Linked DNA regions of Neurospora crassa OR74A. The protein of the gene in region 1 interacts with the protein of each later gene in a biochemical or structural test. Links are inferred from orthologs where the notes say so. Each region holds a gene or a part of one and is shown in the gene's direction. Other genes may lie near its edges.

What was found.
Region 2: of the proteins of NCU04615 (region 1) and rrg-2, one has a biochemical effect on the other in vitro, tested with the Saccharomyces cerevisiae proteins (3 studies listed by BioGRID). The link is inferred for Neurospora crassa OR74A from reciprocal best matches to the Saccharomyces cerevisiae genes SLN1 and SKN7.

What each region holds. Positions count from the first base shown.
Region 1 is NC_026505.1:1,486,808-1,491,117, forward strand, and holds the start of NCU04615 (osmolarity two-component system protein sln1), read left to right. Parts: upstream 1-1,459; 5' UTR 1,460-2,368; coding exon 2,369-4,205; intron 4,206-4,266; coding exon 4,267-4,310. UniProt on the Saccharomyces cerevisiae protein: Histidine kinase that acts as an osmosensor at the plasma membrane.
Region 2 is NC_026507.1:2,581,981-2,586,471, reverse strand, and holds the start of rrg-2 (transcription factor prr1), read left to right. Parts: upstream 1-1,538; 5' UTR 1,539-2,409; coding exon 2,410-2,469; intron 2,470-2,574; coding exon 2,575-2,591; intron 2,592-2,678; coding exon 2,679-2,751; intron 2,752-2,822; coding exon 2,823-2,963; intron 2,964-3,021; coding exon 3,022-3,900; intron 3,901-3,969; coding exon 3,970-4,171; intron 4,172-4,238; coding exon 4,239-4,491. UniProt on the Saccharomyces cerevisiae protein: Transcription factor that is part of a SLN1-YPD1-SKN7 two-component regulatory system, which controls gene expression in response to changes in the osmolarity of the extracellular environment.

The sequences.
Region 1 (4,310 bases):
TGCCGATCAGGGAAAGTCATCAATCACCACGAATTGCTGGCAATGAATTTGTTGCCAGTTCTGTCTGCATCGACCTGTGTGATTCAGGGTTAGGGTGGAAGCAGGTCGGAGATATCGCGCCGACACATCCGGGATTCAGCCGGGACCAAGGTGATGAATTGCCTGTTATTAGGTAATCACTGGACGGACGGCACTGCAGACGGGCGGGAGCGAACCAGAAAAGGTCCAGTGTGAGTGGAGTGGAGGCCGGCGCGGGATACATTGCACCGACAAGACTGAGACCTAACCGTGATAAGGCTAGGGCCTAGACCGAGTGGATGCATCGCTTAAGGCTCCCGTTTTAGGCGAGAAAGGTGGTCGGGTCTGGGGAAGGAAGGAAACCTAAGAACTGAAGCGACGTTGACTTTGTGTTTAGTTGTTGACTTTGCTGTCTCTTGTTAGTGCCGTGCTAGGGGGACCGTGGTGTGTGTTAACATTGTGCCACTGAATAGCCCACTGAGGAAAACCTAGGACGGTCTCGAATGGAAATGGACCACGGATTTCTGGGGGAATAACGTCATCAATCGAGGACGGGAATCAAGAAACAAAAACAAACATCATGACAACAACAGCTCCTTTCCCATTACGGCATGAATGCAGTGATTCCAGACCGCGGCCATGGTTGATGATGTGTTTACCGTCAGGGGAGCTCCCAGGTGCGCTTGGGGGGCCAACCCAGGTAGTGCTGGGCTATTTGACACTAGCATTGCGCTACGCAGCTGGGAGTGGGCCCCGCTAATCCACAACGAACAGTCGAGACGGGGCCAATATTGAGTGCATCTGCCAAGGCCACGCACATCGATCGGACGAGCTCTGCATTCATCTCAACTTTTTTTCTTTCTTTTTCTTTTTTTTTTCTCGGTCGGTGTCGAGTCAGTGGTTTTCCCGTGTTCTTCTTCTCTACCGTAGTGCTGTCCATTCTATTTTTCTTGACAGGTTATCCACTCTGCCGTTACTGATACACCTTGCTACTGCGTACACACAATAGTGTAGTGTATTACCAAGCAACCCACGGCTACCGTAGACTCGCAACTCGGTATCTTTCGACTTATACGGAAACGAAGTACTGTACATTACAATTGAATCATACACTACCTACCAACCATACACTCCACAGACGATGTTGTCAGACACGGCAAGAACGTCGGGTATGTACCGTGCTGACTGGTCAGAAAGAACATCCGGGTGCCGCAAAGTGTAGAGAGTACCTGTCCCAAAGCAGCCAATGCTACGACAAGTCGAGGTTACAGTGACACACTGAATGAGTGAACTTAACAAAGCTGAGCTTCCATCTCTGGGCTTCCGGTTCGGTTCGTTCAGTTCCCTTTGGAGATCTCGATCAGATTTGCTGCTACAGCCACTCAATGGCCAGCATCTCCATTCCATCTTTTCGACTTGCGACGGACGGAATCACTCCAGTCCCGGGCTGCTTACCTACCTCTACCGTTCGCTGGCCTTTGCAAAACCTTTCCCCGTGGCTGTCTGTTGAACCCAGAGAAAACGCAATCTCACTCACTCACTCACCCCAACCACGCCGGCCGACTTGTCCGAATCGGTCCCGTGTCCATGTCCATCCCTTCCATCTTCTTTTTTCCTGATTTCGTTCCATCCCGTTTCCTTTCCCCTCTCTCAGTTTGTGATTTGTTGCTGGCTTGGACGAGCCGGTGAGCCACACACCGACTTGGACACTTAATTCCAAACCACAACAACACACCAACCAGCCTCGCCTCCACTTGCCACCACGACGGGATCAGCAACGGCAGTGCAGCATAGGTCTCTTGGGAGTCTAGGCCCGACTATACCTACATACCTTACCTACATGCTACACTACCACACCACTACCACTACCGCTACCACTACCGCTACTACTACCGCTGCTACTACCACTACTCTCACCACTACCACTACCCATTCACCTCTTGTCGTTTCTACTACCAAGACGACGACTAACCTACCTAATCATCCGGGTATCACGACGGATTCGCGGCGCCATCTGGATCCTCCTGCCACACCTGCTTGTCTCGTCCATCCCCGACTCCCATCTGAGACCCGGATCGATTAGCCAGCTGGTCATTTCCTCCTCCAGTTAGATTAGGGTACCTCGCATCAAACAAAGCCAGCCTGTCCTTGTCTACTCAGTCTTTCTAGAAACTTGATTCAAGAACTACAACTTTCCAAAGACATACCACACACAAGACACCAAGCAAGCACGCAAGCGCATCCAGACCCTTTCCCCCCCCAGACTAGATCGACAATAATGCAGGTGTCGCCTTGGGTCCGTCCGATTTCCCCTCGGTAGTCCCTCCTCACCCTCGTACGCGACTTCAAAATGAGGATCGCAATTAGAGAGCAGCTTGCGGCCCTTGTCATCTTTGCCGTCCTCCTCTCCCTCGCCATTGTCTCCATCCCCGTATGGATCTTTGTCAACAACTTTGTCATTGGCGTCAAGACGGATGGCCTGGCCTTGTCTGCCTCTCTCAAGGCCTCTCGCATCTCTTCCGAAATCGATCTGATCCAGACGGCATGCACCACCATCTCCACACGACTCTTGCTTCAGCAAGCCTTTGAGGATTTCTATACCAACGAATACTATGGCAATCAAACTGCGGACGTCTGGGAGCAGGCTCTCGAGGATCTGGCCAGCGCGCTTTCCACCAGCAACGTGTCGGGTCTATTGCAGGCCAGATTGTATTCTCGCAATACCACCGGTGATCCACGTGGCCTTCTCAACATTACCGGCCAAGATGCCCTGGACGACCCTGTCTATCTTCCTTACAGATCCCCAACTGGAGCCGACATCAAACTCGGCGATCCCGACTATGGCTTCCCCCCTATGCTCTACCCAAACATCACATACGAGAACAAGAACCTGCCGAGCCCATACAAGGCCAACACCGTTCAATTCTCTGCCAACATATTCCCTGGCGTCTCGTTGAGCAATGGCAGCGAAGGCAACGGCATTCTCTTGGGACCGCTTGTGGTCAACGAGTCGTACGCGCTTGTCTCCATCACGGTTCCTGTTCGAGAGAATCAATCTAGCAGGTTCATTCTCGGCTACATGACTGTGATTGCCAGCGCGAGACAGCTCGTCCAGGTCCAGAGGTCCAACGAGGGCCTGGGCGAGACTGGCGTTGCTCTGTTCATCGGCCCAGTCAACCCGTGGAACCATTTCAACTCCAAAATGCCTGCCAGCAACCAAACATGGTCTCCGCCCCGTGATGAGTTTGCGAGGACCAACCAGGTTCACTTCCTCCTACCGCCTGCCCCCCAACCCGGCCAAGAAGACCGCCACAGCGACCACAGCTTCGAGTCCGGTGCCTATGATGCCCCCTTCGATCCGGCGACGTACCAGGCGGTGCTCGATCTTTTTGTGGAGAAAAACAATCAGACCAACAACGCCACGAGCAAGATCTCGACCAAGAATGAGCAGGGCAAGAAGGTGGCGATTGGCGCTGCCCGGCCACAAACCTCACTGGTTACCTGGGCGGTGATTGTAGAACAGGACAAGCGAGAGGCGACGGAACCGATCCGTACGCTGAGGAACATACTCTTGGGTTGCGTGTTTGGTACCGCAGGGCTTGTCCTACTGCTCACCATTCCGTGTGCTCACCTGAGCGTTATGCCGATTCGCCGGCTGAAGGAGGCCACCGAGAAATCGATTGCACCACCGGGTTACGAAGATTTGTCCGATTCCGACTATGATGAAGAGAACCCTAGTTCGGGCGGCACCACGTCGGGAAGGTCCGAGAAGAGCTGGCTCAAAAGTTTGAAGAGGAGGATGCGCAAGTCGAAGAGGGCGAGATTGAGAGCTGCAGCTGCACAGGATGCGCATCGCCATGCTTTCAAGATTCCCGCCAAGGTGGAGGATAGGAAGCATTACATTACTGACGAGCTGACCGAGCTTACACAAACCTTCAACGAGATGTCGGATGAGCTGCTGAAGCAGTATACTTCGTTAGACGAGAAGGTGGCTGAACGAACGAGAGAACTCGAAATCAGCAAGAAGGCCGCCGAAGCTGCCAACGAAAGCAAGACGCTGTTTATCGCCAACATTTCCCACGAATTGAAGACACCCTTGAATGGAATCATGGGCATGTGTGCAGTCTTGATGGAGGAAGACGATGTTCTTCGCATCAAGCAGTCGCTCAAGACGATTTACAAATCTGGTAAGCATTCCCGCCCCCTATGTATCCCCTCGGCTTTTCATCAAACTAACCGTGATGATAGGCGACCTTCTGTTGCATTTACTCGAGGATCTCCTCAGTTTCTCC
Region 2 (4,491 bases), on another chromosome or scaffold:
TTCACGATGGAGATACTTGCACAAGACTTACTGCGCCTTGCTCACAGGGTGCATTGCAGTGTTGGGACACTATTAGGAAACTCAACCAAGTTGCCACTTTTTTTTTTTTTTTTTTTTTTTTTTTTTTTTTTTTTTTTTTTTTTTTTTTTTTTTTTTTAACGTCTTGCTCCGGGGACTGCGGGGCTATTTCGCCAGCAGACGTCGGGTCTCTCATGTTCACGGACCTTCCAAGATCAACGGGCCGAACCCCGCTCACACTTCTCCTACAATGGAGCCTCCTCTGCTATAACAGTACTGAAGACTTTACAACCAGTTTTGCCATCCGAAATTCGAAATATTGCCATTCTATGAAGGACGGTGAGGGAGCTGTCCCTGATCTTCAGCCCAGCAGCTTGCGGGTCACCCAAGCTCAGTCATGGTTGGCTATGTGTACTGATGAGCGGACGATAGCTGGTTGGACTTCTGTTGAAAGACTTCCCTCCTCAATCGTCGCGCCACCAGGTTGTTGTGGGATCGACGTCGGTAAGGGTCAGTTACGCAGTTGGTGTTCTGGCATGTCTGGCCTCGCTGGCTCGCCTTGCTTGCCGGCTTGCCTGCATGTATCTTGTCGGGCCCGTGAACCAAGGAAGCAAATAGGACTATTATCGCCAAAAGCACAATTTGATGTTAAAACGAGATCAACAGCATGTGTTCGAAGCGAATTACTCATCTTCCAGCGGTGCAGCCCGATATACAGGTCCAATGGCATTCTGTTTTCTTTTCCATATGTACAGGTCGGAGAGATGGTAAAGCGGTCATGAAGGCCCCCAAGCTTATACCAGCGTGGTCAAGCCAAGCCTTACGCAACCGCACATGACTGTACGTAAGTACCTAAATACGTAACTTACTCCCGTTCTGGCTCCTCACATGCCACCGATGTCATGTATTGTGATGTATTTATAGGTGGTTGTATCTTTGGCGTTGTCCAATGTATTGACGCTTGCGGTTGGCTTTGGTAAGGGACGTAACCGAAGGTACCAGACAAACAAAACGGTAAAGATTGGAGTTTGGATGACGTCCCGGCCGATCGTCTTGGTCGTCTGATTCGTCAAGATAGCTCCGTTTTGGCACGGGACTTTCTCCGCAGCGTGTACAACTTGAAATAGATACTATAGTACTTGCCCGACATGGAAGACAAGATGTCCTCCTCGCCTGGTAGGTTTCAAACTTTGCGTCCACTTCAGCACTAGTAAAAGGTAGGGGTCCGAACTTTATGTCCACCGGCGCCGCATCGAGGTTCCATTCTTACCACAACCCAGCCCCGGTTCTTCCACCTCGCGAGTCTCAAGTTTCCACGGCAGCGATCCTACCGTCTCTGGCGTACTGTCGAGACTGTGTACTGGCGTACCTCTACCAAGCGAACAAGGTTTGCTAGGCTCACCAAGGCAATTGATGTTGCCGCTCTCGCTGGCTACTGCAAGTTTTTCGCCTGCTTTCCGGAACTTGATCAATCATACCGTAGCTTGCCAGTCCTGACAGTCATATGTACTCCCCAGTCCCGTCCGCGCCAGCTTCGGTCACCTCCAATCCACCGAGGGGGCACGCAACTCGCAAAACTAGGTACATACCTACCAGACAACACAGGTTCAAGGCGCCAAAAAGCACTCGCCCCTAATAACTGTCCCCCAATTCCTAAACATCGACTGGGTCCACGGAAGAACGCACCTCCATCATTTTTCATTTTTTTTTTATTTTTTTTTTCCACCAGCACCGTGTCCATCCGCCGGTCAAGGTCCCTTGTCCCTGATCCTCTGCCTTAAGACGGTACCCTGAACTCGACCACAGTCTCGACCGTTTTCGACTCGTTCAACCCTCTGGACCTTCTCTGAGACGTCGAGCCCCGAATCCTCCAGCGACACCGGTCACAGCCTGAGATGGTCCGTACGCCCATCGCCTGTCTGGTCGTTCTCTCGCGCTGAGCTTCAACAACCGTCCCCCATATCGCATCTCCAGCACGCCTGGCTTGGCCGTCTGCCATAGCTCTTTCGACTACTGTACCGCCTTCTGTTTCATCCGCTGCGTGAACCGTTTGAGTCCCCCGCCGCCTGGGTGCATTACGTCGCGAAGCAGCCGCGGTTCGACCACCTGAACGCTCGACCCAGAGCATATGCTACGTGACCTTGGGAAAAGTGGAAACAACTGTTGGCTCGGACCAGGAGACCGCATCACGTCGTGTGGAGATGAGAAGAGGAGCAGAGCGTGACCAGTCCATCAAACTGTGCTCTTGCTTGGGAGAAACTCGTGCCTACTAAATTGGACTGTTCTTGATTCTCGGTCGCAGTTCTTATCGGCCGCTGTTATCGGATCGGACTGCTTGGGCATTCGCTTGTCTAGACCTCGTGTCCCGACCCACGCTGAACCACAACAATCATGCCGCCTCCCGAGGGTGACTCGGCCTCTGTGCAGGCTGGTAATAACTCCAGCGACTTTGTGAGCTCCTCTTCCAAACCTTCCCCTTTCCACTCTCCTCTCTCTCTGTCTGCCAGCGACCGCTAGTTCTAAGATGGGTGCTAACCCGTACTTTGTCTCACCTAGGTGCGCAAGCTATATAAGTACGAAGCCTAAATCCCCCGAAGCCATCTTGAGGCGCCAAGTCCACGCCTGTAAATTGCGAAAAGTGCGTTCTGACCAGCTTGTAGGATGCTCGAAGACCCCACGTATAATTCCGTAGTACGATGGAGCGCCGACGGTGACAGTTTCGTTGTTCTAGAGGTATGCGCTGAACGGCATTCCACTTGGGGAAGACACTTCCCCCCTGCTTCTGCTGACATGCTCATCAACAGAATGAAAAATTCACCAAAACCATCTTACCCAAACACTTCAAGCACAGCAATTTCGCAAGCTTCGTGCGGCAGTTGAACAAATACGATTTTCACAAAGTGAGGCACAATGAAGAAAGTGGCGAAGCGCCATACGGAAGAGATGTGGGTGGTCCAAGTCATCGGTCCTGCAAAGGGGATTCCTTCAACTGACCGTATCCAGGCATGGGAATTTCGACATCCCGAGTTTCGTGCAGATAGGAAAGATAACCTAGATAATATCCGCAGAAAAGCGCCCGCCCCGCGTAAGCCAGCGCAAGCTGAGGATACCTTTGGCGCGTCGCAGCAGATTGTCGTCCTAAGCGAATCGCTTACTGCGACCCAACACCAGATCCAGGCGTTGCAAGAACAGTATTTCGAGCTGGCGCAGACGAACAAAGTGCTCGTCAACGAGGTCATCAGCTTGCAGAAGATGGTCAGGGCCCAGAGTCAAGTCTCCAACGAGTTGATCACCCACCTCAGCAACATCGAGGACCGTCGACGGAATAGCAGACACTCGGCGCATTCTAGCCACTCAAGTCATTCAGGTCCGACCTTCCACGCAGGATCCCTTGGGCTACTACCAGACGGTGCTGATGAGCCGGCAGCCGAACTTAGACGAGCGCGCGAGATACTCAATGGCGTTTCCCCCGACTCCCAGGCCGACCGGGAACTCGAACGGTTATCGGTCGCCTACCATCAAAATGGGTCTCCATCGGAATCGGCGACCTCGTCAGTCATGTTCACCCAGAGCGGCCCTGGCCCCATGCACATGTTGCATGACCCCCTCAACGACCCTAGACACATGGTCTATCCGGTAGGGCAGACAACAGGCATCGATCCATTCCATTCCGACCACATCAACAACATCCCTTATACTCGTCCCTTGAGTAATCCGAATGCGATGGCAGACTCTGCCCAGATCACGCCTCCCCCAAAAGATCAAGGCACCTCCATGTGGAGCCACAAGCGGCCACGTATCCTACTCGTCGAGGATGACAAGACATGCGCAAGGATCGGTGCCAAATTCCTACATGTACTCGAATGCTCGGTAGATATTGCTGTAAGTTCTAGGTGTCTCGCCTTGGGAATTCGAATTACCCGAAGGCAGCCGTCGCTAACATTGTAGCAGAAGGACGGGCTGGAAGCTGTCGAAAAGATCAACAATCCGGAGAATAATGAGGGCTTCGACCTCATTTTCATGGACATTATTATGCCCAACCTGGATGGCGTATCGGCGACGGCGATGATCAGGATGGTGACGGCAAGAGTACCCATCATTGCTATGACGTCGAATATTCGACAAGAAGATATCCAGACCTACTTTCAGTATGGTAAGTTGGGCCCATCCCAGTTCACCCCGCCTGCTTCTTTCGATGTTCTAACGTTCCTTCCTCCAAGGTATGAATGATGTGTTGGCAAAACCCTTTACGAAAGACAGCATGATCCGCGTTTTGAGGAAGCATCTGGCATACATGCTCAAAGACCCGCTCCAAGGCGGCCTTAACGCGGATGATACAGGACAGACAGTCGGTGCCCCAGGACCGCCGGGCCAGAACCAACAAGCTTACAGCAACAACCAACAAGCGCAGGCCAACATGATGGCGGCGGCGGCGGCGATGGCAAACTCTTCGATGGGCAGCAGCGCACAGGT